Linked DNA regions of Schizosaccharomyces pombe. The protein of the gene in region 4 interacts with the protein of the main gene of each other region in a biochemical or structural test. Each region holds a gene or a part of one and is shown on either strand. Other genes may lie near its edges. The genes, in order: byr4, etd1, cdc7 and spg1.

Region 1 (7,816 bases), 340 kb from region 4:
ACAGCGTTAGCCTGACTTCAACTTATTAGATATAGCAGTACGACTGAATCTTCCTCTGAAAGAGCATAATGGAAGAAAAAGTACAAGAATTTTTGAAGGATTCAACCAAAGAACAGAAGGTCTTCTTTGAAAGTCTAAACAATCAAACTGAACGAGTTTGCCAACAAACGGAGTCAGGGGATATCTCCTGCATTGAATTGGCTGCAGCGGAGACAAAATTGTTTGCTACTATGCAATCTTTAGGGTACGTAAGATGGGAGATTGTTAGATTATTATCCTATATACACTTACTGTGAGTTTGATATTAACCAACAGGTTCATTTGCACTTTATCAGCAGATCCCAATCGGCCCACTGTATTTGAGTGTAAAAGGGAATTAGATACAAATGAAAGAAAAGAGCGACTGTAAAATTTGTACCGATGCTAACGTTTTATGACTTGTCTATCTCAATCCGTTGGGGATCGACGTCGTTTTATCATAAAGACAAGACACACACATTTTACCTTCATCTTCTTTTTTTTTATTCGTATTATTTTAAAGAAAAATACATTGAAATTAAGTTAATGAAAGTGCAGATCAGTTGAAATTTATATTGTGAAATTAGATCTCAAGCCAAATAGGTACTGTACTTTACTTTAAAACTCTTTATAAAACACTACTCAATAAAAGATACGGATTTTTAAAGGGTAAAATATTGTTTCATTAGCTTAGAAAAGGGATTCAAAATCGCAAATTCAAACAGTTAAGAATTCCAAATAATGAAGAGCAAAAAAGGCATGATAGAAAATTTAACATGAGTTAGTGTAACATGGCATAGTTTAAAAACAAACGAAAGAATAAAGCTATTACCAAAAATTGTGATGTTCATTAAATGCTGAAGTAAAAGTCATTTTTGTGAATCTTTCTAGCACCATTCAATAGGGGTATGCGTTACTTTAAGGAGAGCCTTGTGACGCTCTTGTTTAGGCTCATACTTGTAACGCCAGGAAGCATGTAATGGAAGGGTCATAAGAATAGATTCAACACGGGGTTCAGGAGCTTGAAGACCAAACCAAGTACCTCTGTCATACATAACGTTAAACTCGGCATAGTATCCACGACGAATGAGTTGGAATTCCTTATCATCTTCAGTGAATTCCATGTTCTTTCTCTTTTCCATAATAGGGACATAGGCAGGAAGGAAGGTATGGGCACAATCCTTGACGAAAGCAAATAACTCTTGAGGATCTTTCTCAGAAAGATCATCAAAGAAAATACCGCCAATGCCACGAGTCTCCTTTCTGTGCTTGATGAGGAAGTATTCATCAGCCCATTTCTTGAAGCGAGGATAGAAAGTGGGGTCATGGCGATCGCAAGCTTCTTTATGCAATTTGTGGAAATGCTTGCCATCTTCTTCAAAGAGAATGCTAGGAGTCAAATCGGCTCCACCACCAAACCACCAAATCTTCTTACCATCACTGTTTACAAGTTCAAAGTAACGATAGTTCAAGTGAGTAGTAGGGGCCATGGGGTTGCGAGGGTGAATAACCATACTGATACCAGCAGCAAAGAATGGAAGCTCTTTGGCAGTACGATCAATACCTTCATGATTAGCACGCATTCTTTGGACAGCGTCTTGATTCAATTTTCCTTGAACAATACTTGTGTTGACACCACCCTTTTCAAAAACGTTGCCATCTTGAATAACACAACTGATACCATAACCACCTTCTCCCTTGGTCCACTTGTCTTGGAAGAATTTTTGTCCATCGACAGCTTCGAGACCAGCAACAATTTCTTGCTGAACATCGAGAATAAGCTTCTCCATCTGCTTGCCAATAGGCTCAACGGTAATGTCAGACATCTTTTTATTTACTTTACGGATTTGCTCAAAATGTCCAAAAAAAAAAGTAACCAAAATGGTATTTAAGATATGATACAACCGATTGGATGAATTGGTATTAACACAAGTGAAGAATCAAAACACTGTTCAACTTGCGAATTAAATTTACAACTTGGTTGTTTTGTTTTCACAAAAACACTGTGCCAGCAGCGAATGGGATTAGGGGGATTTATATCAAAAAATAGACTAAATTCAGATATTTAAAAATCGAACGATTTCTGGACAGTCACGACCGTAATGGCTCGTTTTTCTCGTAAGGTTAAGAACACAATCCGGATTCCACGATCTGAGTGTTTCGTTACTGCACCTTGTAGTGCGATATATAGATTCCTTCGATGGAAAACAATTATTAGTTTTATATGAATTTGATTAGGATGATGTTAAACATCCTTTTCTTTGACTTATTATTAGACTATCTGAAAAATGGAGTTACTTCTCGTCTATGAGAAATGTTTGTAAGTTGCTTCGCTACTAGCAAGCAATAATGTTTTTAACTGCTTGGTTTACAGAAAAGCACAAGAGTATAAGACAGATGCCATGCTTACTTTTTCAACTTGTTCGATTTACCATTTCTTAAGTACAAACATTAATAAGATCATCAACCTATATTTTTTATGAACTTTACATGAATAATTACATGATTAAATCACTGAAATTATATGAAACTATAGACAGAATTGATGCTAAAAATAATTTAGGAAAAATATGAATAGCGCGATCGCATAGGGGTAAAAACATGATTATGTTTCATACTTGGATTTACTAATGAAGAACGGTTTCTCATACCTATGAATTGAAGAGTTAATTTGTTCAACTTTACCATTGTTGATTTCAATAACTTTTTAGATGTAAAAAAATAAACTAAAATAAAACAAAGACGTTTCTTTTGTTATAAACTAATAGATTTACTTTTTAACCTATAGTTTAATCGTTTTTTTTTTTTTTTTTTTTTGTAATTTATCTAAACTCGTATATGAAAATAGTATGTATTTTAGAAATTATACGAAGAATCTAATAAAAAAAGATTCCTTAAAATGTATTTCATATATACTTGAACGAATATGTAGATTCCATAAACAGAATTAAATTGTAAATGGGCATAAATTTCAGAGAAAGCAATTGTTTATAATAATTTAAACGTTCAAAGAAAAATATATATATTTTCGTGGAGGAAAATAAAATTCTAAGACGAATGAATTTGCTAATACGAGTGACGATTAAACATACTATTTATTGCTTCACCTACTAACCTTCGTTGTAATTTATCTACTTTTTAAAAAACATTAACTCGTAGTTGCATGCTAATTAGATTACCTAGATTTTTTTAAGGTGAGGTGCAGCTATGCATTTTGGCAATCACATATGGTTAAGTATTTTACTATGATTAATCTAGCAAAAATAAATATGACTGAAAGATACCAAAAAAAACTATTTTTTTTTTAGGTTTACACAAGCAAATAGTAGATGCTTTATTTTTCACCTTATTAAAAATTGATTTCTCGTAAAGTACTGAAACCAAAGTACGTAAATTGATCAAGTTGGTGTTTACACTTATACCTCTAGCTCAACCTCCGTCTCTTTCAACAATATACCGCTAACCCAGATTCCTTGATTTTGTCATTGAAATAAGTTAAATTCTTTTTTTTGCTTTCTATACAAAACAAAATTTCATTGTATCTCTGAAAGCATCATCATAATCATATTCCTGAAGTCCTTTTGAATTGCTGTTCATAACTTATTACTTCTCGAAGCTGGGTTTGAAAGCGTAAATATTTACAGTGGTTACTTCTTTGCAAAATTAGTGACCATCCTTTTTCTCTCTCACTTTCTTTTTCTTTGAAAATCAAATTTAGGGTTTTCAGTTTTGGGTGAATACGGTTAGTAATCATTCTATGCGTTTTGCATCCAATTTCTTTTCTTAGCAAAGCCGTTTTAGTATACGTTTATTTTGATTGAATGACTGAAGTTGAATGCTGGGACGATGATCCTGATTTTGCTTCCGACGTCGATAATGCTAGCCTATTTACTCAATCCATAGCTACCACTAGTGCTAGTACGAGTGTGGATGATGGGTTCTCGTTTGACGACTCTATTAGTCGTCTTAATAGCCTTTCAATTTCTGATGTACCAAGCGCTCATTCTCGTGTCGAACAATGGAATCAACAAGTACATAATTTAAACCATGAACTGTCTTCCAACAAGAACCGAATTTCTTCCAATGTAGAAGGCTATGAAGATGATTTTTCGTTCGATGAAGAAGGTGAAGAAGGTAATAATGAGTTTAATACACTTCGTCCCAATAAATACCAAGATGCCGATGTTGATGAATTCAATACTATTAGAGCATCTGAAACTGCTTCTCAAAGACCTCCAATTCCATTCTCTAGTGATACTCTTAAGAAAACATATCTTTCAAGTGAAAATGATGCTCGGTATCCCAGTGTTTCGGACTCCCCTTATTGTGAATCGGAAGGCTTTTCTTCATTTGAAGATGATTTTGAAATAGACCCAGATACCGACCTAAACAGTATTTTGCACAGAAAACAAAATAGGATGGATCCAAAAGCTTCCTTTTCCAGCGTAGAACAGTCTTCGCTTCGTACGCCTTCCTCTGCGCATAATGACGACGGCTTTTGGGATGATTTTGATATTGACTTTAATAACGAAACAGAATCGATCTTTCGGAAAAAGATTCGATCTCCAAATACCATCAACCAAAAGCATCCTTATATTTCCTCCACAATTTCTTATCAACCTAATGTGCATCAGGATGCAAAATATTATCCCCTTTGTAAAGACATATTTCCTTCACTCGCTAATGAAAACCCTCATTCTGATAACCCAAACCTAAAGTATTCTTCGAAAACACTTTCGAAAAGGGATACGTCTTCTCATTATCCAGAAACGTTGAAGGCTTCGAGTAAACATTCTTCTCCCGTGAAGGGAAATTCTTCTATAAGCTCCACATGGACTCCCTCGAATTTGAAGATCTATCATTCGAAAAATTCGATGGGTTTGATGGATTTGGACGCTTTGAAGACAGTTGCAAGTAATTCTAAATACAGAACAAAGCCTAAAAATTGCAAGACTTACGGAGATGGTACAGAACTTGATACTTTAGATGAATTACCAGTTGATTATGAATTTGAGCTTAAATTGAGAAAAAAGCAAACTACCAAAGTTTCCGGAACGCCTAAAAGTAAACACGCAGGTTCAACTCAAGAATGGCATTCACATACTACCCCTAGATCTACTTCGAAACATGAGAATAATTTAAATAATATAACTAATTCAGCAAAAAATGAGCATATTCGGTCTCAAAGGCAACACAAAACTCATGCCGCCCCTTCTAAAGAGTTAACAAAAGAATCGCTTTCCAATGATCAATTGAGCGTCAAAGAAAAACGCAGACACCATAAAAAGGCACCTACTTTAATACAAAATTTAAATTCCCCTAGAACCCCAAAAATTGTTGGAAAAATGCGATATAATCCCACAAAACATTGCTGGGAAGGAAACGATTATGCAATTAGAGATTTTGATACCCCTATCTCGCCTAGCCGTCCAGCATTAATTTCCAACATTTCTACAAAAAAAGGAATCCAGGTTGTCGGAAATATGGTATATGACCCTACAAGGTTACGATGGATTGATAATTCGATTTCTGGTCAAGAAGCGGAAGATCCCTTTAGCGGGTTTGATGATCTTGAGGATACAGACTCCACCTCGCAGTACTTGAACGAAAATTCAGGTAGCTTTAATGGTAGCATAAACTCAATAATCAATTTTCCAGATATGAGTGAAATATACGATGTCGGCCCAGAGTTTGAAAAAAAGCAATTTAGCGAAGATATTCAATGGCGAAAGAGAATTGATGGCTGGTTTTTTTCATTTAAAAACGATGACAGGTCACGACTATGGGAGCTTTATAATATACTTAATGCCGAACAATAAACAAGGTTTTGTCTTTACCTTGCGAATGTTTATATATAATTATACGAATGCTTTTGTTTATCGCAGATTTGATCTTTTTGTACATAGCTTAATACACTTCGAAGATTTTTCATTTTGTTTGCAAATAGATGTATAAGATGTACAACAATGATACAAATGTAATACTAATGTGACACCCAGACAAACTAGATTGTTTGAACAAGACAATACAAAGAAAATAATCAATTAAATTTGGACCGAATACATTATACCCTTAAATACCGTCTGTAATATAGAAACCATTTTTGCCATCATTATAATACTTGTAAGCGTCTTTTAACACATTATTGGGGTTGCCAAGGAGGTTGTGAGACATACCCAGAAGAGTAATTAGGATCCATATATGGATAGCCGGGATTATATGGGTTGGTAGGGGGAGGAACGGTACTAGGATTACCATGCCAGTCATTTCCTGAATCAAAATGCCTTTCACCATGGTGAATGGGTGGACCTCCCCTATATGGTTTACGACCCCGGAATCGCTCATCACGACGCATAGCAAAATCTTTTCCTCTTTTACTAATTGCCTTAGAACTTATTCCTAATCCAATTTCAATATCAGGTTCATCCAAAGCGATACCAGGAGTAATCGGAAGGCCACCCGTGCCGCCATATTCTGCAGTTACAAGCCAGGTACGATCGGCATCCGTCAACAAACGGATTGGGATAACGCTGATTCCTGTGGAAAAGTCAGAGCACTCTCGAGGTCCAAATCCTACACCCCATTTAGTACGAATAGTAGTATCAGCAAAAGGGACATTTTCCATCGCTACTTGAGCTTTCTCTGCAGCATCACGACGAAACATTTTCAAGAACCCGTGTCTGTAATTATGATTTAAAATTAAACTTTGTACAGACCCAAATCGTTCAAACATAGATCGAAGAACAGGTTCTCGCACAGAACGAGTAATACCACCAAGGAAAAGAGTACGGCTGTATACCTTAATAGAATCAGGTGGAATGGTTGGGTCACGCTCAAATCGGCGAGGAAATCCATCAGGGGTAGGTTTTGGCACACCATCTGCAGGAGGCAAAGTAGAAGGAATGGATAAATGAGAAGGACTAGGGCTACGACGAGGGCGACCACTACGAGGACTAGGGCTACGAGAACGATGTAAGGAGCCGAGTCTTAAGGATTGGGAAGAGGTAGGAGCTGGCAAAGGAACACTGCCGACACCAGCCGGCTGGAATGGAGCGTTATAGTTGGGAAAAGCAGCTTTCATGATGCTATCGATTTGTGCAGGTGGTACATTCTGAGAAGCCAATACATTCATGAGAGTGATCTGTTGACTCTGGGTATCATTGACCGATCCTGTCTTCATCCCCATGGGACCAGAGGGAATAGACTGTGGTACATTTGAAGGTTGGAATAGAGGGTTTGATAATGGATTGCCTGACTGAGACTGTGCATTAATGGCGGTAGCTGGATGAACAGGTAGGTTAGGGACGACAGCAGAAACGGATGGTGCGACGGCAGGCTGCGGTGGAGTGCTAACTGATTCTTCGGCAGCACTAGGGACGGGCGCCTTTTGAGCGAAAGCAGCCAATGCCTCTAGAATAGAAGCAGCATCGTTTTCGACAGGACGAGAAGTGGGGGCGGCTGCTTGACTACCAACAGAACCACCATTCCCCTCGGGATTAGTAGACTGTGATGGAGCAGCAGCAGAATCTACACTAACCGGTTCCGTACTTGCCATTGCATCTTTCAGCTTTGAACGAAGCGATTCTAGCTTCTCGGGAGGAAATGTTGAAGCCTTCTCCCAAATATCACAAAGCTTTAATATTTTAGGCTACATGCTTAGTTAGTTACAAATTAGTCCAATAATGTTAAAAGACTTCTCAAAGAGAATGATACTGTATTACAAGGAAAAAATACCTCTCTCATACAGTGTCTCGCTGATACAGAAGCAGAGAGAGCATACGATTATCCATACGGGATC
Region 2 (7,227 bases), 3.8 Mb from region 4:
TTGTGATTGTTTAAAATACTCATGTGTAATCGATAACTTTTCATACTATTGAAGATAACATGAACAGTGTTACAATAATAAAAAATGCTTTTATATGCATTCCAAACTCCTTAACATTTTTTATGTTTTAGCATTCACCAAATATTACCACGTAAAATACACTTTTTCGCAACGAGTTGCTTATCTGTATTAAACAGCATTAACGCAGGCTTCGATAGAGTGTGCAGGAGTTTATCGCCACGTTCAGTAGGGTTTTTCTTGCTACATCATTTTTTAGAAGACATCTAAAATCTTAAAAGTAAAGTGTGTACATAAATGTTTTTATAATTTTTTTAAATAGATTTTTCAGTAAAAGTCTGTGTATTTAAAGTACTAAAATAATCAGGAATTATTACAATTTTTCAGGTGTGTGACTGTGTGTTAGAGAAAATATTTATTACAACCCTTCAACTTTTTTTCCACAACCCACTCACCTAGCTAAGCAAGATTGCTAAAATGGTAGACCAACTGGAGGATTCGGTTATTGAAACCAACTACGATGAGGTTATTGACACCTTCGACGACATGAATTTGAAGCCTGAGCTTCTCCGTGGTATTTATGCCTACGGTTTTGAGCGTCCTTCTGCCATTCAGCAAAGAGCCATTATGCCCATTTTGGGAGAGCGTGATGTCCTTGCTCAAGCTCAATCTGGTACTGGTAAGACTGCTACCTTCTCAATTTCTGTTTTGCAGAAGATTGACACTAGCTTGAAGCAATGCCAAGCTCTTATCCTTGCTCCTACCCGTGAGCTTGCTCAACAAATCCAAAAGGTTGTTGTTGCTTTAGGCGATCTCATGAATGTTGAATGCCATGCTTGTATTGGTGGTACTCTTGTTCGTGATGATATGGCTGCCTTGCAAGCTGGTGTTCACGTTGTTGTTGGTACACCAGGTCGTGTTCACGACATGATTCAACGTCGTGCTCTTCCTACCGATGCCGTCCAAATGTTTGTTCTTGATGAGGCTGATGAAATGTTGTCCCGTGGTTTCAAGGACCAAATTTACGACATTTTCCAACTTTTGCCTCCTACTGCTCAAGTTGTTCTTCTTTCTGCCACCATGCCTCAAGATGTTTTGGAAGTCACCACCAAATTTATGCGTGATCCCATTCGTATCCTTGTTAAGAAAGATGAGCTTACCTTGGAAGGTATCAAGCAATTCTATGTTGCCGTTGAAAAGGAAGAGTGGAAGCTTGACACTCTTTGCGATCTTTATGAAACCGTCACTGTTACTCAAGCCGTTATTTTCTGTAATACCCGTAGAAAGGTCGATTGGCTTACCGAGCAGCTCACTGAGCGTGATTTTACCGTCTCCTCCATGCACGGTGATATGGACCAAGCTCAACGTGATACTTTGATGCATGAGTTCCGTACTGGTTCTTCTCGTATTCTTATCACCACCGATCTTCTTGCTCGTGGTATCGATGTCCAACAAGTCTCCTTGGTTATCAACTATGACTTACCTGCTAACAGAGAAAACTACATTCACCGTATTGGTCGTGGTGGTCGTTTCGGTCGTAAGGGTGTTTCCATTAACTTTGTTACCAACGACGATGTTCGCATGATGCGTGAGATTGAACAATTCTACAATACACACATTGAGGAAATGCCTATGAACATTGCTGACTTGATTTAAAAAATACAAAAGTCCTTTCTTCTCTTTGTTCTAGATATGGAACGCTCCGTGATTGCTCTTCTCGCAACCCGGCAAACCTCCCGCAACTTAATTTATCTGCTTTTCTTTGCCCATGTTTTTAATGCTTCTTTTATCTGTGCCGGTTGATAGCTGCTCACCATATGGTTTTTTGTGAGTCGTGTTAGTGTTTGCTGAGAAAGGATTTTTTTTTTCGGCTACGCTGTTTATTCATTAGGTCACAAAATAAAAGGCTGGATTTGGTTGATTTACATATATTTACTCTTCTTTTGAGCCTCGTGTAGCTGTTCTGTGATTACTTTTATAAATGTGTTGTAGTTTGGTTAGAAGGTTTGTCGTTTTTTTGTTTTTTGGTAAAACTAAATGAGTGAATAGAGGATGTCAATCTGTATTTTGGATTGAACTTTTATTTACTGCGTATACCTTTGTGGAATTAATTTTTTTGCTCAGAGCTAACGTATTTGTGTTAACCGTAACTGTCCAGTCGTACTTTTGTAAGGAATTAGGAAGTTCCTTTTGCTAAAAGTTAAATGGTCTGTAGTAATAAACAATTCTGCTAGGTAAAAGTTATTATTAATCATTGATCCATTAACCTATTATATTCGCTATGTTTATATTAACTGTGAGATTAAAGGTTGCATCACTTTACGCTCTCAAAAACGTAGCTTTAAACTGCAAACATTATTTGACTAGTTTTAAAGAGTTTGACTTTTAAGTCAATGTAATGAAAGAAAAGAAGAAAACAATGTTTTCCCTGCATCAACAGAGTTAGTTGAAGAGTTTATCGTAAGCAAGTAAAGAAAGTTGAAAGGCGTATAGCAACTTTTGATGCTAACATTGTGCTCATGAACGAGCAGTGGCTTTGAATCTTTGTAGAGTCATTCATCTTTTCAGTTTTTGGCTAACTTATTTATTTTAAGTTGAACATTTTTAATGAATAAAACTTGTAATAGACAGTCTTTTCCATTTCCTAGTCTATCTCTGCTAGCATTCCATCTTTACAAAGCCCTATTTAACGTAACCACGATTAACGCGTTATAAAGTATTTATCAGAATTATATAGCGCTTAAACAACATAACGAATTGCGTTCTTTGATGTTATAGAACTTTGTATTTCCTTATAAATCATTTACAGATTCATGTTCAAAATTCGTTATGTCGTTCTCATGACGACCGTTTGTTTACTAACAAAAGCGTGGTCTTGACGAAAGTGCCTTCTACCATTATTTACACACTTGAATGGGTTGACGCGTACAGTCTTTTCTCTACGGCAATAATTCTTTCTTTAATTTAGCTTAAGAGAAATATAGATTTACGAGTATTTCGTCAATGGGAGTTGTATACGGCAGTCAACAAAATTTAAGTGAATATTTCTATTCTTCTGTCAATATGGCAGAGGTTCCAGATACTTTCGAAGAGAATAGGGGTCATTCTTTTGAAGGTGTGACTCTACAACGAAGGCATGTGAAAGGCATGAAAAGTTATGGTTCAGATATTACACCGAGGCGCCCTAAACAGCTTGGATTACCGAAAGAAGTTAACACCTCCGAATGCATAGATCAAGGCTCATGGAGGAAACCCTCAGCATTTGAAAGCTTAAGAAGTTACTCCCGAAAATTTTCTAAACGAATTTTTTCATTCATAGGAGTTGAGTCAAAAAGTACTGTACAACGCAACGCTTCAGGTGCAGACAGTACGTCGTTGTCTCACTTTACGGCGAATGAGATAAACAAAGGCAACTGTAAAAAAACTGCGTTAAGTAATGAATTTAATTCGGCCAATAAAGGGAGCAAGGCTAGTGGTGTAGGTGCTGAACTACCTTCAGTTAATGGATTTATTGAAGGTGAGCTTCATGATGATAATGAGACAGATTCCTTTCGGATAAATGAATTAGCTAAGCAAATCCAAGAAACTTCTTTGGGTGCGACTACGCAAGAAGATGAGAGTTCGGATGGTATTTGCTGGGACGAGTTATCGACTACTTCGCCAGAGTCGTCGAAAGTGTCGGAACCTATCATTCAAGACAATACGCAAACGACTCATATAAATAACGATTCATCGGATATTCGATTTTCATCTCGTTGCGATTTATTTGCGGACGATGCGGATTCAGATTGGGAGCAGGACTTTAATGTGAAATTCGATAGTCCATTGATAATTCCCGAAACGGTAAACAGTGCAGGACACACCGTTCGAGAACAGCTTTTTGAGGTGAAGGAATTTACGAGATCCATCAAAGGTAAGACATTCATGTGTTGTAATGCTTTAGTTTTAACCGCTGCTAACTAAAAACACAAATAGACTTAAAAGATCTTTACGAAAAGGCAAATTCCAAAGATATTTACGACAAGGACTCAGAGATTTTAGGAGAGGCTAAGGCTATTCTACGGTTAGCGGATCCTGCAAATTATTCTGATTTAAAGGATGAGGACGCGCAAAACATTTTATCAAAATATAAAGTTAAGTTGGAAGGGGATTCTTCATTAGATTTCGATGCGTCCATGCTACCAGGGCTAAACGATCATGTGCATTATTTAATGTCCCAACTCCAACTATTATTACACTGAGTTTCTCTTTTTGGCTATTTAATCCATTAATGGAATGGGAAGTATCTATTTTGTTATCCAAAGTGTCAAAATTTCGCTTAGGATAATTTCAATAATTGTGAGAACAGTTTCGCATTGGTGGATAGCAAGTAAAGGTGAAACTGGCCATTACAACCTTTTTATACTTCTGCATCTTAAGAAGCTTTTGGTTTTATTGTAAATTTCTTTCGTTTTCTCTTTTTAATAAATCTATTTTGCAATAATATTTCGGAAAAAGTACTAGACAGATGTTTTGTCTTTTGTGAATATTAGTCCAACCTTTATTCTGTGATAAAAAGATTTTATTAAATTAAAGTAAAAGAATGTAAATCAAAAATACCTGAAAACCCATATCTATGATTTTGCTATTTAGTGAGAAATTCCTCATTGCACTGAAAATCCTTAAAACTAGTACCCCACTTCATACTATACTACGGGGTTAGACCACAATTAGTTGTTTATCCTTTGCACACCGCAAACCTATAAATTTTCTTTTTGTCAATTCCACATATTCTACAAGGAGGATTGACTTTTTAGTTCACTGATTATTGCTCTTTCAACAATTTATACGCGGTAGTTTTACTGCTCTTCGGCTCGTATAATTTTTTTACACAACACTTTTATCGATTTTTTAAGCCGAATTTCTACATTTAATATTTTATCATTTTTTTCTGCTCATTAATATTTACCGTATCTTTTCGAAAACCCATTGCTTTGGATGTGTGTGTGTGTCTCTCTCTCTACGTTCCTCAATTTGACTGCATTACTTTAATATACTTACAACCTGAATTCTGTTCGGTTGGTAATTCCTGCAATCGTTATTTGTCTTTGTCAACTTCGGATTTTTTATTTTTACATATAACAGTAGTTGCATTGACTTCGCTGCACAATTCCTTACACTGAGTTGGCATTCCTTGCATCTGTAAACCACTTTTTCATTACCCACTCCCATTTTTGACTTCAGTAAACAATTATTCTACTACTACTTGCCACTATTCCAAACTTATCTGTTTCCCGTTTTGGGTTTAAATTTGGGTATAACGGTCTTTTTTATACATAACTTCTGAAGCAATTCGAAATTTGTTCCTCAACAAACATGGAAAATATTTTGGATCCTTCTGTGGTCAATTCACATATACTAGAAAATGGCTCAAGGCGATCTTCTATCAATCCAATTCTTGATAGTGAATTGCGTGATAAAACATTTGAAAAGGCTCATCGTCGCTCTTTGACTTTACTTTCAAGTTTTACCTCGTCTATGCTTGAACTTCCTAACAACGGAAAAGAAGAAAATCACAGAAGGCCATCTGTTGCGCGTAGCTCAAGTGATAGATCCAAGGCGAGCGCCAAAGAGGACTTATTTTCAGAAGCTTTCAGAATGGCTGAACAGCCTCCAGCCGAGGCCCTTACTATTTCTACCCCTGTTGACCCAATCAATATTGATGAATTAGATCGTGCTTATGCCGTAAGTCCAAGCGATACTAGTAATCTACTACATCCTCCTACTTCTTCCTCTTCCATTCCTATACCAATTAAGAATGCTGGTCATTCAAACCTCGATCATCCTATCCGACCTAGTCTGCAAAGTAGTATTAGCTCAAATAGGATAATAAAGTCTCCCGGTATTAAGGAAGACGATTATATGCACAGAGGACGTTCTATTTCGTCGCCAATGATTGATGTTGAACACATAAATTCAACAGCAGTTCCAAGCAAAACTAAAAATTTGCCAGAAAAGCCCAAGCGTTCTCACAAACTAAGAAATTCTATAACATTTGCTAAAATTGAAGATCATCCTGAGAGGAAATCTCAATTAAGACGACTGAGTAGTTCGTTAAAGTGTTTTGACCCAGAATATGATTATAACGATCCTTCTCTAAGCATTCGTCGTGATAGTTCAACTTATTACTTTTCTAATGTTAATGAAACTTATGATGAGGAGGACTCGGATTTAGATTCTGAGACTTCAACTGTAAATTGGGTACAATCTGTTCTGAATCTCCCATCCTTACTTTCTGATGATTTAATGGCTAACCCAAAAAACAAAGAACGTTTTGAATGGCAATATATGTTGACTTCAGTTCTGACTGGTGATATAGTCCGATCTGAAAAATTACGGCTAAGAAAGATTGCTTCTTCTCGAGAAGGGCGAAATAGTGATTATTCTGATAATTTGTGGATGGAAATATGGTGTTGGCTTACTCATCGTTCCGTTGATTCTTATAGAGAAAATTTAAAACATCTTCGTACGGGTATGGTTGATGTGCTACTGGCCATTATGAATTTTCATTGGGATGAGAGCAACGAATTAACCCCTATTGTTGCTGTCGATAACATGCTGCAAAAACTTGATAAATATGAACGTTTATATCCTTCACGTCGTTCTATCCTTCAGGAACATTCATTATATGCTTCAGAATCTTTTCAGCACAAGTTGGATGTCTTGACGGCTTATTCTAATGTCACTCATGCGCTAGAAATTCAAGTTAACATTATTCGCTCGTGGGTTGGTAATGAGGAAATGGACATTACCAAAAATACTACAAATTCTATTAATAACGTTTCTCAAATTTCAAACGGACCATTTGTGGAGCGCTTTTATAGAGAAACCGGTTTGATTCGAGCTTTTGAGCAAAGAATCATGACTAATATGAATAGCGTATTAAGCAAAGTTTGTAATACGATTGTTACATATGCGGATGATTTAAAAAGTTATGGCTTGCCGCTTATTGCTGATGATTACATGCGTCTTCTTTCTTTTCCGTTTAGGTTAATCAAAGAGTTCCTAAATCTTCGCTTATCATGTGCAGAAAATATTACCTCAATTTCTTTATTTACGATTGACTCTTTACTAGATGACCTTCGGAACACTATGAAAGTTGCCGTCCATATCATTCAACAACACACTGTTCTAATCAAACCTTTTCGTGATGATAGCAAATTTGTTGAT
Region 3 (9,804 bases), on a different chromosome or scaffold from region 4:
TACTTAAATTTTGGACAATGCGAAGATGATTAAGGCACAAAATGATTTAGAGAAGAATACTGGAAGAAAAAATATAAACTATATTTAAAAGTACTATTGAAAAGTTTTGTATAAAGAAATCTTCTGGATTTTCCTTGTTTGCGAAATGGATATACTGCCAACGTATCGGTGCCTTTATTAAGCAGTAAACAAACAAACCCAAGTTCTTCCAACAGCAAACACTTCAAGATGAATAAAGGCCCAAGACATCGTCCAAAATTCTTATCAAAAAAGGGAAAAAAGCTTCGCATAATGGTAGCAGGATCTAGCTACACCAGTTACCAAGCTTGTATCAATAGCTTGTGCAGTAAACAAATACTGGAAGCTGAAACAGAGATAGATCCGCTAAAAGCTCATATTGATAGAATACTGGAAATAAGGGAATTTAATGCTGGTGAGTTATTACGGTTTTAATTTTCGTGTGCTAACTGTAATTAGATATTTTAGAAGATGAGTTCCATGTTGACCTTACGGTCATTGAAGTAAATGGTTTCGGAGATAAAATTGATAATTCAGCTAGGTAATACCAAAAGGTATTTTTCTAAATTAAAGCTAATTTCAATGCATTAGTTTCGAGGTAGTTACTCATTATTTGGAAAGCCAATTCGATCAAGCCTTGATAGAAGAATCTAAAATCAAAAGAAATTCTAAATTTACTGATACGGTACGAAATCTGCAAACAAAGTTTTTCCGTCCTTAACTATTTCAATCAAGTTACTTCCATTACTTGATTTAATGTTGTTAAGTAGAAAACCAAGAGAACACATTGGTTTAAGAATGAGGAATGAAAAAAAAGTTTTCTAACGATATTTTAGCGCGTTGATGCCCTACTTTATTTTATTGCACCCCGTGGACATTGCCTGTCTGAGTTTGATTTGGAAGCCATGAAACGGTTTTCAAAGCGCGTAAACGTAATTCCTGTCATTGGAAACTCCAACGCTTTTACTGAAGAAGAATTAAAGAACTTCAAAGATGTGATAATGAAGGATTTGAAACAATGTAACATAAAGGTATTTGACTTTCCTTGGGATCCTGAGGAGGATGAAGACGAAGTCATTGAGGATAACAAACGACTTTGGGAAAGTGTTCCATTCGCTGTATCTGGAGGGGTATCAGAGGAAGATGAAGAAGGATATCAAAGAATCGTCAAGAAATTCCAATGGGGAACATTCGTAATTGATGATCCTGCACATTCTGATTTTCTTAACTTGAAGACCGTATTGTTTATTTCTCATTTGGATATACTCAAAAGTATAACTAAACAAACCTATTATGAGAATTATCGTACAGAAAAACTGTCCAACGACTCACCTTCGAACACATCATTGTAAGAAATTAACTATGCATAAGCGAGCTAATAAGTTAGGTCATTGCAAAAGCAAAATTCCATAGTTGCAAATGAAGATAAAAGAAGTGTAAATGGTTCTGAGAGAACGGAGACTCGATCTTCGATTGATCAATCAGAAATGCGAACTAATGGTAAGTATATGCATTCTCTCATTTTCGTGCTAATGAACGCAGTCTCCGATTCTACAAAATCTGAGGAGTTAAAGAAAATTAACTCCATCAAAGTTGACAACACCAGCAGTCTTAAATGCGATTCTTATGGAAATACTAAAACTAAAACTAATCAATTAAACTGTGAACAAATTGGATTAGAAGTAATATCGCCAAAGGAATTTCCTCACAGAACTACATCAAGTCGAAACAGTCTACCCAACAATACGACAAAGGAATTGGAGATGAAGAAAATGGATGATTTGTCTCATGAGCGTTACGAAAACCTCCCTTTCTATCGCTAAATTAAACATTTGAGAGTGCAAATTATAAACAATCAAAAGAATAATTTAGTATAAGTTCATGAAAAGTCTTTTGATTTCTTTTTAATTGCTTAATCATACACCTACTTCTCTACCTATGTCCTTAACATAAGCATTCATTAGACTACTAGATTACCGCACCCACACGTGCATTGTTATGACCTACTTGAAACGATGAGTTAACTGAGGGCTGCCGAACGTCTCGTTTGGTATTTTTAAATAAAATATTAATTTACAAATTCATTTAACTGTTGATTACTGAGTAATGAGTCGAATCAATCCAATGCTCATCATTACGTCTTTCAGGTTGAGTCGTAGATGCGTAAACGGTCGTTCATCGATTTAGGCATTCGTGAGCATATGATTTTGGAAATTTCGTTTCTTTCAAAGACGTTATGATTACAACTATGCAATTTTGAGGTTGCTAACACGTAACTCTTTATCTAAACAGAATAAATGATGAGGTTGTTCTGAAAACACTCTTTTTTTAGTAAGAAAATAAAGAAGAAGTACATAAAAAATCAATCAATTTGAAGTCGTAACTAGGCTTCTTAGCTTCAGCGGCTTGTCACTAATGACTAATTATCCTTTTTTTCGCCAGGGGACAATTTTCGTGGACAATTCAGCAATTCAAAGGAATTCAGAGAATAAGAATAGTCTTTCGATTGAAAATATTTTTGGGAGATTTCCTAAAGAGTTCTTCCAATTTTTTTCAATAAATGTTTCTAAATCAACAACCAAGAAGTCTTCCGTCGTTATAAAGCCAAGTACAATTACTGCACCATGGTTAGAAAATGAATACTTAGACAGTAATACTAGCTTACTTTCCGTTCATTCAATTCAACCTTCGTTTATTGGAATGTCTGACTTCGCAATTGGATTAGATCCTTCACTGAAGCGTATATTACCCGAAATAAGATTTCGCTTAGACTTTCAGCATCTAAAATCAATAGCTAAAGGGGCCACCTCTACAATCAAGGTTGTAACTCACAGAGATAAAATCACCGACGCAAAGATATACTATGCTGCCAAAGTATATCGGAAAACGAAAACATCGCATAAAAAAAGATTGAATACAATGGTTTATTTTTTAAGGGAATGGTCAATCCAACCAAAATTGGACCATCCTAATATTCTGAAAGTTATCTGCCCTTGTGTGACTTTGACAAGCGTATTTAATAAATCCGCTGGGTTTTGTTTGGTTCAAGAGTACTGTCCTCAAGGCGATTTATTTAAGCAAATTGAAGAAAAAGTTTTGACCTTAGAAGACAAATGTTGTTATCTAAAGCAAATTCTTCAAGCAGTAGCTTACTTGCAATCTCAACGTATTGCGCACCGAGATTTAAAGCCGGAAAACATCTTAATCGGAAGGGATGGATTGTTAAAGCTCACCGATTTTGGTACCAGCGAAATTGTGGGTAATCCTGGTGATAACGAATCCATTCGTTTCGTATCGGGTGCTGTTGGAAGTTTGGCATATCTAGCACCAGAAGCATTTCATGAAAATGGTAAGTCTTATGTGTATAAATTGTGTAGCAAGACGAGCTCTATCCTATTTCAAAAACGACGTACTAATAGTTCAATTGATAGAATATTGTGGTCTTTTAGCAGATAGGTGGTCATGTGGTATTTTGCTTAAAGTTCTGTTTACTGGATACTTTCCATTTAAAACTTCCGTGAAAACTGATCTTTACTACTCAAAGTATATGTCAATCCTTACAGATACTTGTGGTATTTCTTCAACTGATGAATCCAGTTTCCAAACCGAAGTCATTAAACAAATACCTACATTGCAGCCCCTCAGATATATACCTGAAGGTGCTAAGAAGATTATACTAAGTTTACTGAATCCTGATTCCCAGAATCGGCCGTCGTTGGATAGTATTTTAGGTACTGCATGGGTACGGAAACTGGATTGTTGCAGTAACTTCTCTACCGATCATGAAAATAAGAGTTTACAGGAAGTTGATTTTGATGCTTCTAAACCCATTACAAGGAAAAGTTTGATTCCTCGGATTCATAACCATCAGACACTTGTTTAACGTAGTTTAAATCACTGTCTTTTCTACTTTACTTTCCAAGCTAAAATGAACTCATTCTTCCTATGTACATGGTGTTTCCACTGACATTACTTAACCAACGGATTAGTTCCATCCTTGCCAATATTTTTTATATGTCTGTATAATACGCTTTTTCTTTTATACGAGAATCTTTGTTTATTAATGATTTTATAAATAGCTTAATTATTACTATTTACTTCTTTTGAGTTTATAACATGCAAGTTCAGGTACCGTACTAAATGTGTATGTACACTATAAAGTCCTTACTTCTTCAAACGCAGCAAATGCTACATCGTAAACAAAACCAAATTGTCTTTTCATTCAAAATTACAAATAAATTCAATTTTTAATTTGTAACTTATTCAATAGTCATGCACAATATCCAAGCATCTTCCATCGTATGCTAGTATTTAATGTTAATAGCCATTGGATTTTCAATAACATATTCAGACTCTTGGGGATTGCTTGGGCAAGGGTGCCTTCGGTGCAGTATACCGTGGTCTAAATATAAAGAATGGAGAAACGGTGGCTGTAAAAAAAGTTAAACTATCCAAAATGCTAAAATCTGATCTTTCCGTCATTAAGGTATGAAGGGATCTCAACTATTTTTCTCTAACAATTTTTAGATGGAGATTGATTTGCTTAAAAATTTGGACGTATGTTACTCATTCGTTTATAATGGTCGCCAAATACTAAACGTGGTAGCATCCAAATATTGTTAAATATAGGGGATCTTATCAGACGAACGATTCTCTATGCATTATTCTGGAGTACGTGATTTTCTTTAAAAAATTGTTTTCAAGTTAACGATATATAGATATTGCGAAAACGGATCGTTGCGCTCAATTTGTAAAAACTTTGGAAAGATTCCAGAAAACCTAGTGGCCTTATATACGTTTCAAGTATTACAAGGGCTACTTTATCTACATAATCAGGGTGTTATCCATCGTGATATTAAGGGTGCCAATATACTTACTACTAAAGATGGCACTATCAAGTTAGCAGATTTCGGGGTTGCGACGAAAATTAATGCTTTAGAGGATCATAGTGTTGTTGGAAGCCCCTATTGGAGTAAGCCTTTTCTAAGCGTATAGTTATAACATTACTAACAATTTATATAGTGGCTCCCGAGGTTATAGAGCTTGTAGGCGCCACAACAGCCTCAGATATTTGGAGTGTTGGCTGCACAGTTATTGAACTGTTAGATGGAAATCCTCCCTATTATGATTTAGATCCTACGTCCGCTCTTTTTCGGATGGTGAAAGATGAACATCCTCCCTTGCCTTCAAATATTTCTTCGGCTGCTAAAAGTTTTTTAATGCAATGTTTCCAAAAGGACCCAAATTTACGAATTAAGACCAGAAAACTTCTTAAACATCCTTGGGTGATAATGAACCAAACCTCCTCTAAATTTTCTGACGCTATAGACGAGGTTCAAAAATATAATGAAAGAGTGAAAGAAAGCACTTTGACAGCTATTATCGAGCCTACTTCCAACAGAATCAATCCGACTCTTCATTCTGGCAGGCAGTCTTCTTATCACATGCCTGAGTCTCCAAAAACACCAATTGCCGAGTCCCCAGGTAGCTTTATGATACTTTTTAACTACTCTAACATTTTTAGATCATGATAACTGGGACAATGAATTTCAAGGAACCCTTAAAATCAGTGACGATGTTTTAAAGAAATCTGAGCATTTTATGGATTTTTGCAGTAACTTTAAAGGAAAAAATAATTCCAGCTCCATAACATCATCCCCTTCGAAGTCTCGCCATGCTTTTAATTCAGATCAAATCTCTGAATCAAACAACTTTAATGCATCACCGTTGAGTACTCCTCTCAAAGCCCAATTTGATCCCTCTAAGGTAAATAATGCAGCTCGATTTTCTAGAGCTTTTAATGATTTTAAATAAATAATTAACCTTTTTTTTAGCCCGCTCTCAACCGGTCAATAGATCATCAAAAAACTCCGCAACATAAAAGATACTTGTCAACTGGTAAGTATCTGATACTAACATATAACTAATTATCTAGAGTTTAAAGAGAATATACCAGACGGAATTGAAAAATTTGTCGAGACACCCAGAGATAGTGAATTTACTGATATTTTCCCTACATCCTCAATCAAAGTTCAAGGATTGAGAAAGGAGACTGGACTGGGGACTTTGGTTTTAAACAAATGTTATGGCTCGTGGAATAATGAAGAAAATGAGGATGGGGAAGAATCGGATATCTTTGACTCTATTGAAACAAACTTAGAAAACTTGGATATTGAAAACAACATTGCTTTAGATAAGAGAACGCATCTAGCTTCCTTACTTTCCAGTCTGTTAGGCTCACTACGTGACAAGAATATCGGATCGAAGGATACAACTGTTTCGCAAATAGTAAGTGCATATTTTTATATTGATAATTTAACTGACAATAGGCTTCTATACTTAGTGAAGATCTTTCTCTAAAACGAGAGATAATACAAGCGCATGGTATCCTTCCACTTTTAGAGACATTGCGCGAAATAAAAACGCCTGATGTTCAATTGCTGTTATTAAAGCTCATTAACACTGTAAGGATATTTAATGCGTGATTTTACTAACGTTAGGTTGCATTCGATGATCACACAACTTTACAAAAAGTTTGCTTTGCTGGAGGTTTACCGCTTATGTTGTCATTCTCTAATCGTGAACACTCTTTTGAGTTTAGATATGAAAGTGCTATCTTTATTCAACAGATGTATAGAACTTCTGCTTTGACATTACAAATGTTTTTGAGCTCAAATGGTCTGAATTCGCTTTTATTATTTATTAAAGAGGACTATGGAACGAACCGTGACTTTGTTTTTGTTGGCGTAGAAGGAATATGGAAATTACTGAGACAACAGGATTACATTCCAAAAAATGATATCTGTACGATGGTTGTAAATGATTCACTAGAGCCCTTGACCAAAGCCATGCTGAAAGCTTTGGCTACTGACGATGATTCTTCAAGAATGTCATTAACACGTATATGTGAAATTTTATTGGCTTTATCTCAGGCTGATAATTATGTTAAGGAATCACTTCTTTGCGAAAGTGCTCTTCGAAGGATATTGCGTATTCTGCTTTATCTGCCGCATTCTGATATGGCGATTACCTTACAGTTTTTCAAGCAACTTTCAATGGTTCCTTCATCTTTGTCGCTTCTTAGGAAAGTTCATATAATACCTCTTTTGACACATATTCTCGGTGACAGCAAAATTGAGAAAGGACGAAAAGAAATTAGAAGCGAAGCTTTGGCCGCTTTATTCAATGTGTGTAAGCTAGATAAGAAATCGCAAGAAGAGGCTGTTATTTCTGGTGCTATTCCATTATTGCAAGAGGTGATTATTAAAGACAGACTGTTTAAGGAGTTTGCGCTGCCGATATTATTAGCTTTGCCACAGGCTGGTCCAGTGTCGAGAATTTATCTTTGGCAAAATAAATGCTTAGATTTTTTTCTCTCGTTATTATCAGATCTTAATTGGCAATCTGCGGTATTTGATACGATCGCATCTTGGTTGCAGTTTGAACTCCGTGAAGTACAACGTGTTTTGGCAGAGAAGAGAAACGTACAATTAGTGTTAAAGGTGTTCTGTATTTCTCAATCAGCTTCCTCAAACAGAATGCTAGATACTTTGGGCAGGGTTTGTCAAATTTCCCCAAGATTGGCAGCCTCTTATGGCCAGCCTATAATATTCCAGAAATTTAAAGAAAAGTTAACTCATAAGGGGACCAAGCCGATTGTGGTCCTAAACATATTTCAAATTATGAAATCAATGTGTGAAGCTAGTAGCCAAAGTGTTGCTTATATTGCGCATTGTGGTTTACCAGATGTGGTTGCAAATTTGAACCAAACAAGTGATTCTGTGCTTGTTAAAGAACTAGCAAAAGACCTGCTGAAATACCTGAAGGTACCACAGGGTCCCATCAATGAGCACAAATCCCCCATTTCGAAACCGCATATGCCTCCACCTAGATGGCAACCAAAGCAGCCATTAACGCAGTGAACACTATTAAACGCATTTCCCAGTGCACGACTATATTACTTGTTTATGATATTTCTGTATTTATGGCTTAATGATTAATAAATAAGGTTGGGATTATGGAATCAATATTTTTTAAACGAAAGTTTTGCTAATTTTAATATTAATATATTATCATTCCATGTGTAAGTACGTTACCAGTTGTGTTTATACCTGAAATACAATCTAATTGAGTACCGCAATGAAGACTATTTATTTACCGAATCTATATTGATGAATCTTAGAAACGTTAAGAGAAAGGTTTATAATATGCTTATCACAGTGTATATTTATATTTATTCATTCAAGTGCTTCGAATTTTAAAATCTAGGTGTGCATAAAAGTTAACTTCACTATATCAGTTAACGCTACGATAGTGCAATACAGGAAGAAATATGCACTAAAACAAAAGGACAACAATGATTTTTATGCTTCTCATTTTTGGCTATTAATTTGCTGCTTTGTTTATTGCATAAATCTTTTTTGACTGTTTGCATTTCAGTAATTATTAATTTTTATGTGGAAGGAAAAATCACTTTTTTGATATTTCTTATTAACGTCGAGTTGCTAAACAGTTTATATCTATGTCAGAAGTAAAAAGGAATATATCTTTGAGAAATTCAACAAACATTTTTACTTCTACATTTAGTTTATCTTCAAATAATGTCCCAAAACCGCTGATTGGGGAGTCAGTTATAAAATATGGAGACGAGGCTTTTGTATATGGAGGACGCGATGCATTAAATGCGCAGCTTGTTAATGATATGTATGTAGTTGATCTTAACACTTGTTCCTGGAAGCAAGTTGAATATCAAGGAAATCAAAAGCCGATACCACGGTATTTCCATTCAGGGGATTTATGGAATAACAAATTAATATTCTTTGGTGGTATGGGATTTAATGATGATACAAAATGTCTTTATGTTCTTAACGACATCGACATATATGATATTGAGACTAAGCAATGGTCTCATATACCTGGCATGATAACAGAGAATCAGACAAATGACGATGCTAAAGAAGTCAATGGATCTGATGTTGATGAAAAAAGCAAACACTTATATCCATCAGCACGTTACGGACATTTGCATTGCGTGTTAGATCATTATCTTATTATATTTTGTGGGCAAGATTTATCAAACAGCTATATTGAAGAGATAAATATTTTTGACCTGGATTCGGGAAAATGGGTTTTTAAATCCCTGTTCAATCATCACTGTGGTATATACAGATCGAATTGTGTGGTAATAAACAAAGATAGTGAATTTTTACAGATGTGTCGACCAATTAATACAACTCAGGATTCTAATGAGCACTCTATCGGTTCTTTGTTTTTTTATTTAAATTACAATTTTGTCAATGTTAAGAGGCAAGTAATATACTTGGAATTATTTGAATTAGATACTGCCGAAAGTGAAAAAAAATCAGCCGCTTTGGCAAAAGATAATAACCAATCTTTCCGTTTCCTAGAGCTTGATGTTACTGAAAAATTCTTAAGTTCAGCAATGCCGCCGGGACTAAGGTTTCCTGCTGTTAACATACTTGGAGACAACTTAATATTATCTGGAATCTACCTTACGAGCTCCAGACAGGCATTCGTGCTTTGGGTCTATTCTCTTGACAAGGAGCTTTGGTTGCAACTCGATATGCTGGGTGTTTTAAACCATGGATCGTGGTTCAAATGTCTAGTCTTAGATTGTACGAATAGGTTTGTGGTTTTTGGAAACAAAACTAGGAAACTTACCCAAGATTATAATTTGCGACAATCAAATTACGATCACATAGTTTTTATTGAGTTAGAAGGATATGGTGTATACAGAAAGCCGCAAATGGGGAGAGTTACGGAGCG
Region 4 (7,033 bases):
CCAAAAATGTACGACACAATGCCAAAGAGAATTAATTATTAAAAAGGCTTGCTATCTCCTTTCTGACGTATCACTTTATGGGCCTCGCTTTGCATACAAATATATAATTGAGGTGCTTGATCGAGGTTTGGGACCCTCGACCCAAATGTCCGAGGTAAATATTTCTATTAAATTGCTTAACGAAATACTTCTGTCATCTAAAAAAGAAAAAGATTCATCTACATCATTCATCTCAACAGCAGTTGCTGACTACACCAATAAAATATTATCGTTATTAAAGAAGGAAGAAGCCCCAGATGAGTTAACGCAAAAATTGTTGGAGGTTTTAGGATTGTTATTAGAGTACCAACAAGTGAATATTTTGAAAATTTGGCCAGAATTACATGGTCTCTTAATCTCTAAAATTTCTTATGATCCCAATTTAATATCTGATACTAATGATGAAGATGATATCGCTGACTTTCTCGAAGAAATGAGTGACTATAGCAGCATTTACGAAGATGAAGAAGATGTATCTTGGATTGTTAGAAGAGAATCTTTGAAAGTCGTTTTGTCTGTAATTTTGTCACGTTTAGAGTATTTGCCTATAGTCCTTCAAGCACTAGGGACTTCTGTGGTTAGTAAGTTAAACGATAGAGAGGAATCTGTTTGCTTGATTTCTATCGAAGTATTAAAACAAGCATTCTTGCATGTTCCTCGTTGGATAGAGGTGTATGCAACTTCTAATGATAGAAAGCGTCGTTATGAAGGGTTACCATCGGACCGTTCAGCAATATCGGATACTTCTATTTATTTAGTGTCTGTAATTGGAAAGCATGTCTCTAAGTTATCTGATAAAACTCCACTTTCCATTGTATCTGAATTACTGAACCTAGTTACAGTGATTTTTTCTTCAAGAGATCTTGGTGTTCAGTCCGAATTTTCAAATCTGAGCTCAATTATATACCGTTTTCCTGATTTTTCAACCCTTGATATAAAAATTAAGCTGAATTTAGTTCGCTTAATATCAGCTATCATTTCTTGCGGCTGCGAAGAGATAGAAAACATGGAATCTAAAATGTCAACTATATTAAGTTTAGCGGTACAAAACAACTACCCACAACTTTCATACGAGGCCTTAATTACTGAGCTGTCATTTTGCAAATATATTCATAAAAAGCAACCCACTAACGTCTCAACAGATTTTTCCACAATGATTGATTCTTCACTTCAACTTTTGGAATCTAAAATTTCTGACTTGAAAGTTCGTTTAGCTTTGATAGATCTGGTCTCTCAATACGTAATTCTTTTCTATGAGCCTGATTTTGATTCTATATTCCTGAGACGTGTCTTAATTATTTTATGTAAAAAATTACAGGAAGAGCCCACTAGAAGTGCTGCTGCAAGAGCGTTATGTGATATTTTCATGTCCGTTACAGATATTACTAAGATAGAAAATGGAACAAAAATTTATGAAGAAATACTCCAGGATTGCTGTAGGCATATCGACAAAAGTGGCAATGAATTTACGACTGCTTATTTGGAACTATTAGAAGTGCTCTTGAAAGTTGGACAAAAATATCTCGCTGAAAGCTTGCTTGAACATATCTTAGGTTTACTGATCGAGACTCTTAAAAGAAACACTGAGAATACGGTTGCAATTTTAAAATGTTTGCTAATCATACCTTTGAGTATCCTTTTGAAATCAAAAAATTTACTAATAGACACTATAATTTCTCATCTGCAATCATCAACCATACATTTGAACGAAGAGTCCGTTTGTTTGCTAAGCAGAATTATTGCTGTTATTTCGAAAGAAGAAGATTTGGAGTTGATTATTAATTCTTTCACTTGTGCACAAAAACCTGTTGAAGAAATGGTTACATTGGCATTGATTGCTGCACAACTGATTTGTATTTTTCAATCAAAGGCCATTGTTACGTCTCTGAATAAAAGTTTTATGAGTCCTAAATCAGAAGTACGGATAAAAGTTTTCACAACTTTAATTTTTGGACAGCTTGATTACGGGAAGCTAACACTTCCTGCAAATGAGTACTTTGATACGATTGCAAGTAATTTAAACTCGCCGAATGCAGATGTTATGAAAGCAGCAGCTATTGCCTTAGGGTCGCTTACTAGTCAAAGTGAAAAATTCATAAAAGAATTATGTGCTTTATACGTCTCAGATGCTTATGATAAAGAACTTTTATTAATTTCCTTTTTAACTTTTCTTAAGAAATCAAAAATCGATTATGAAACAGCAGATAAAATATGGGATATCCTTTCTAAGGACATTGAAAACATTAAAGACTTTTCCACTTCTCCCTTCAGAACTCTTTTATCTGAATGTCTTGGTCTTTTAATTTGTAATGAATCTTCTAGCTTATATTATAAGCTAGAACTTTTATCCTCCAGTGAAGCTTCAAATCATATGCTTTTATCTCTTTCGGTGTTTCGTTTTTCGTTGACATTGGACTGTCCTAAACTGAAAGCTTATGAGAAACAATTTTTTGAAAAGGCGTATAAGCTATTTCAAAATCCAGACCTCGAAGTTAGTCAAGAAACGTTGCAGGTCATAATATCTGTGATAAAAAATAGGCGTTCTTGCATTGCAGACGTTTATAATGAACTTTTACAAGGCTTAATTTCCAAATCATCAGTTGATTCTAGTAACGTTCATGTTGTACAAATGGGCCCTTTCCAACATGTGGTTGATAATTCAATAAATCAACGGCAGCTAGTATTTGAAACACTTTATTCCTTACTGGATATCCCTGAATCTTTGAATCATTTAACCCATTTTTTACAGGTTTCTGTCATGGGGTTAGAAGATGAACATTATATTAAGCTAGTATCTTTGTCAATCTTGGAAAAACTTGTCGACTGCAGCCCTTCAATTATAGACGAGCAAGTAGACACTATTTTGGAAGCATTACGAAAAATTATAGAGCTTAGAAAAACTGAAAAGACTTTAAAGACAGATAGCGATAATATCCTTGATTTGGTTCGTTCTGCTTTGAGAGTTTTGTTTACAATGAAGTTGAAGTGCGACAATCCTGTAATTTCTGAATTCGAAAGTCAAGTTCAAAAGGGTCCTTACTCCTTGGAATATGAGGGAATAAAGAACGAAATCAAAACTACAATTAAAACTTGAATTTGAATATAATGTTGGAAATTCCCTTTGAATTTTTACTGGCATTTGATTACCTACAATATTTCAATGTTGAAACCTACAATGCGCTTCTCAACTGATATATTCATTAATTTCAGATGAATCCAGTTGACGCATTAAACAGTAAAAGCTAAGGTGTGCAAAATGAAACAGAAAAATAAATGCTGACCATATTTGTCATATTGTTAATTATGATAATGTTTAGAGGCATTTGGTTGACTTAATATATTAATTATTACTGGCTTGTTCTGGTCGTCAAGCATTTTAAAAATGACACTGCCATGTTAACGTTCAGTCTTAGTGTAACTTCTAATTATCAGTATATGAACAATTTTAGTACCTTTATCATATTATGGCTTCATAAACACCTGGCGGCTCGGTACCACAATCCCTGGTAAGAACCCGAATTCCGTTGCAATGCGAGTAAAACCCAGAAAAAATAGTCCCGAACAAACTTATGAGTACAAGAATTACGAATAATTCCAAGAGCAATTAACAACGCATCTCATTTGGCTCAATAATTAGCACAAACAGTTATGGAATTTTACATTATCGATAGCAAATAATCAAAACTACAATTTACTGTAAACCCACCAGTTATAATAACTAGCTTTTTTATAATTACTTATTATAAATAAAGATCTTTTCTCGTTTTAATTTACAAACTAATATATTACCAGCATTCTTTCCATTGCTTAAAAAAATATATGTACAAGTCAACGTAACACGACGTAGCAAGCTATGTCATAATACGCTATTCATAATAAGCCAATATATATATTATAACACGAACGAGGCTTCTTATCCTATGCAAAGGGAAATTGTTCATCTACTGCCGGGGTTCAAGCAGAGTAATATCAGAGGATAGGAGTTTTAAAGAATGGCAGATGCTAGAAAAAATAACGTCACGATAAAAGTCGGAATGATTGGAGATAGTTCAATTGGCAAAACATCTCTTATGGTAACTTATGTTCAGGGCTCATTTGATGAGGAAAGCACACAAACGCTTGGTAAATATTTACCTTTATTGGGAGATTTCTAACTTAACAAACTTAGGAGTGAATTTTATGGAGAAAACAATAAGCATTCGAAACACTGAAATTACCTTTTCAATTTGGGACCTTGGAGGTCAGCGAGAATTTGTAAACATGCTACCGATGGTTTGTAACGATGCCGTTGCAATTCTCTTTATGTTCGATCTTTCAAGGAAATCCACATTAAATTCTATCAAAGAATGGTATCGTCAAGCTCGCGGTTTCAATAAGGTATGAGTTCTTTCGTTCCGATATACGTTTATGCACGTCCGGGTTGTTTTGATTTTGTTTTTAGAACCGATAACCTCTGTTCGTGGCTAAACTTCATTAGATTACTTTTTATCGTACTCAGTATATCTCTAACTTAGTTACTAACGCTTTCAGACCGCTGTCCCTATATTGATTGGAACAAAATACGATCATTTCATGACATTTCCTCGTGAAGATCAAGAAGAGATTACCAAACAGGTACAAAAATTACTAGAAGTCGTATTATTAACTTGGTTAGGCACGTCGTTATGCAAAGGCCATGAAGGCAAGCTTGGTATTTTGTTCTACTTCACACTCTATTAATGTGCAAAAGGTATAATATCAGTTGATATACTATATTGACGATTTTTAGATATTCAAAATTGTTTTGGCTAAGGTGTTTGACTTAAAATGTACTATTCCTGAAATAAAAAACGTTGGAGATCCTATTTTGGAATACATCGATCGCTGATTTTTAATGCTTTACCATCTCTTTCTTTTTTTTTTTACTCTGATTTTACCCACACTCCTTTATCATGTTTATTTTCCCGAATTTTTGTGTCATTTAAGTATTGCTACCTTTTCCCTTGCTTTTGGTTTTAACGACATATTCATTTACTCAACTCTCTGTCAAAATATTTAATGAATTATAACCACGATCTCTGCAACTTTTGGTTTTTTGTTTGAACGAAATCTGTCTAATTAAAAGTGATCTTTACCAGTCTTTTGTTTTATCAAACTTTTAGTTGATATAGCTTTGCAGTTGAAAACAAGGTCTGAAATATCTTTGAATGTGGTATACTGTCCCTTTATGTACAAACATTATTTAAATTAATTTTTGATAGATTTTTATTCCAAAAAAATAACCCCTATATGTATTTCACAAATAAACCTGTTTTTCTAATTATATTTCTAAACGTTCAACTGTATATTTTCCAATAGCCATGTCAATTTCTTTACCACGGGCACGTTGGCTTTTACCTTTTCTTTTTTCGGAAAGAAAATCTTTTTTCAGTAAAGTCGCAAGATCACCCATGTCATCCACAATTGCTTTAGGTTGTGGATTGGCGTAGAACTGCACTCGTTCAGCATGTACGTCTTTTTTACGCTTAACAATTTCGGAAATTGCAGGGAGAACAAGCGACATAGCTGTTAAATTCGTTAGCTTTTCCTGTAAATCATTGTAGAGAATCCTCGCAGCCTCTAAGTTTTCAGAACTCGATGCAACGCCTCCAACACCCATTGCATCGAGAACAACAGACAAACAGTAAATGTACGTTTCCAAATTAAACTTAACAGATGCAAGGTTAGAGTCTACTACTAGGTTGCCCAAGGTTTTAAAGAGTGAATCAAAATCCTCGGGAACAAAAGCTAAAAGCAACGCTTCTCGGGATGTCGTGCTATCAAACAAAGATAACCTCGCTAAAGCACTTCTTAACAACTTAACCTTGGAGGAATTGATAGCTGTTTTAATTGCGCAAGCTATTTCATAGGCTGAAATATCAGAAGTTCTTTCCAGGAAATTAAAGGCAATGTCTTTTTGAAATTTATACAAACAATCAAACACGGAGCCCGAGAAACCTTTTTGTACCAGAGTTGAGTAGCTAAATAATCGGTGTCGTATTAAGTAATTGAGTGTCCCTGAAGCTGCACAACTGACCTGAAGCTCATTTTCCTCATCAAGGGAAAACAAGAGACTTTCAATTGCATGAGCAAATGGAATAGGAAGCACACTGCTTGTTTTAAGAATTTTGCAATTGTTGGCATACTGATTCTGGTATCGTTCGACAACACCTAGGAACTTAGCATCAAACTCTATGGTATTTTTTTGTTCAGCTAAGGAACGCAAGGAAATTAATTCATCACGAAGTGAATGATCTTGCAACTGTATATTTTTCAATAGTTGGTCACGCATCGAAGGACCATTTTTAGATTTTGTTAAAACTCCTTCGCCGATGAGTTCATTGGTTCCGCGTAGCTTTCCGATTTTTGAAGTACGTTTACCAACTGCATCGGCAAGAAGCATTTTTATCGGCAATGTATATGGTACAATGGCCAGTCCCTTCTTTAATAATACAGCAATGTATCCAGTTAATTGGGAGTTTTGATTCATTTTTTTTAAAGACGACTTATAACAGGTAAAAGTGAGAATCGTGGGTTTCTGTTTCAAATCGTAAACATCTTGAATAGTTCCGAATGTTATGTCCCATAAAGATAGTTGACTATCATGTTGAATTAACAAAAAATTATCCGAAATAAGCTCTATGTGTTCAATTTTCGATATGCTTTGGAAATGAAGAATTTTAATAAGCATATAAGATTTGGACTCATCATGAAGTGAGTATATGGATAGCCCTTCGAGGGAAATCGTATATATACTTGTAGAGTCTTTAGACATCAGAATGTGCGAAGGAGCCTGAACTTCCTTTAGAACCACAGCTCTCGTATTCACGAGACGTCTTTCAGAAACTGAAAAAGAATCTACATAATATTGTATAATTTTGTCGACATGTACACTATACAATAAATATACCATGGATGTGGATGAGGTGACATTAGCGCTAAAACTGGTAGACCCTGACTTTGGTACTGAAGAAGT

Evidence for each region.
Region 1: the proteins of spg1 (region 4) and byr4 form a complex in vitro, tested with the Schizosaccharomyces pombe proteins (one study listed by BioGRID).
Region 2: the proteins of spg1 (region 4) and etd1 form a complex in vitro, tested with the Schizosaccharomyces pombe proteins (one study listed by BioGRID).
Region 3: the proteins of spg1 (region 4) and cdc7 form a complex in vitro, tested with the Schizosaccharomyces pombe proteins (one study listed by BioGRID).

The regions. Positions count from the first base shown.
Region 1 is NC_003424.3:960,458-968,273, reverse strand, and holds byr4 (two-component GAP Byr4), read left to right. Parts: upstream 1-3,465; 5' UTR 3,466-3,839; coding exon 3,840-5,837; 3' UTR 5,838-5,960; downstream 5,961-7,816. Other genes in the region: SPOM_SPAC222.17 (uncharacterized protein), read left to right, coding at 69-244, 316-409; hem13 (coproporphyrinogen III oxidase), read right to left, coding at 906-1,844; poly(A)site selection protein Seb1, read right to left, coding at 6,161-7,666. UniProt on the Schizosaccharomyces pombe protein: Has an essential role in ensuring cytokinesis and septation occur only once during mitosis. It does so by interacting with the ras1 signaling pathways, thereby suppressing them.
Region 2 is NC_003424.3:5,085,068-5,092,294, forward strand, and holds etd1 (Spg1-binding protein Etd1), read left to right. Parts: upstream 1-2,911; 5' UTR 2,912-3,021; coding exon 3,022-3,931; exon of another isoform or gene 3,932-3,993; coding exon 3,994-4,259; 3' UTR 4,260-4,571; downstream 4,572-7,227. Other genes in the region: translation initiation factor eIF4A Tif1, read left to right, coding at 496-1,674; MAP kinase kinase kinase Win1, read left to right, coding at 5,374-7,227. UniProt on the Schizosaccharomyces pombe protein: Involved in septation.
Region 3 is NC_003423.3:3,220,917-3,230,720, reverse strand, and holds cdc7 (serine/threonine protein kinase SIN pathway Cdc7), read left to right. Parts: upstream 1-4,215; 5' UTR 4,216-4,290; coding exon 4,291-4,317; exon of another isoform or gene 4,318-4,369; coding exon 4,370-4,504; exon of another isoform or gene 4,505-4,545; coding exon 4,546-4,575; exon of another isoform or gene 4,576-4,624; coding exon 4,625-4,689; exon of another isoform or gene 4,690-4,736; coding exon 4,737-4,990; intron 4,991-5,040; coding exon 5,041-5,502; intron 5,503-5,542; coding exon 5,543-5,784; intron 5,785-5,852; coding exon 5,853-5,916; intron 5,917-5,953; coding exon 5,954-6,306; intron 6,307-6,347; coding exon 6,348-6,482; intron 6,483-6,518; coding exon 6,519-7,940; 3' UTR 7,941-8,370; downstream 8,371-9,804. Other genes in the region: meiotic septin Spn7, read left to right, coding at 229-433, 478-559, 610-703, 855-1,366, 1,406-1,518, 1,561-1,841; serine/threonine protein kinase Ppk24, read left to right, coding at 2,434-3,367, 3,450-3,901; Ras1-Scd pathway protein Ral2, read left to right, coding at 8,540-9,804. UniProt on the Schizosaccharomyces pombe protein: Protein kinase essential for cell division. Plays a key role in initiation of septum formation and cytokinesis.
Region 4 is NC_003424.3:1,298,017-1,305,049, reverse strand, and holds spg1 (GTPase Spg1), read left to right. Parts: upstream 1-3,959; 5' UTR 3,960-4,031; coding exon 4,032-4,161; exon of another isoform or gene 4,162-4,207; coding exon 4,208-4,416; exon of another isoform or gene 4,417-4,569; coding exon 4,570-4,653; exon of another isoform or gene 4,654-4,693; coding exon 4,694-4,768; exon of another isoform or gene 4,769-4,807; coding exon 4,808-4,906; 3' UTR 4,907-5,338; downstream 5,339-7,033. Other genes in the region: knd1 (cullin-associated NEDD8-dissociated protein 1), read left to right, coding at 1-3,133; protein Utp8, read right to left, coding at 5,339-7,033. UniProt on the Schizosaccharomyces pombe protein: GTP-binding protein essential for the induction of septum formation at G2 and pre-START stages of mitosis. Acts via the cdc7 protein kinase pathway.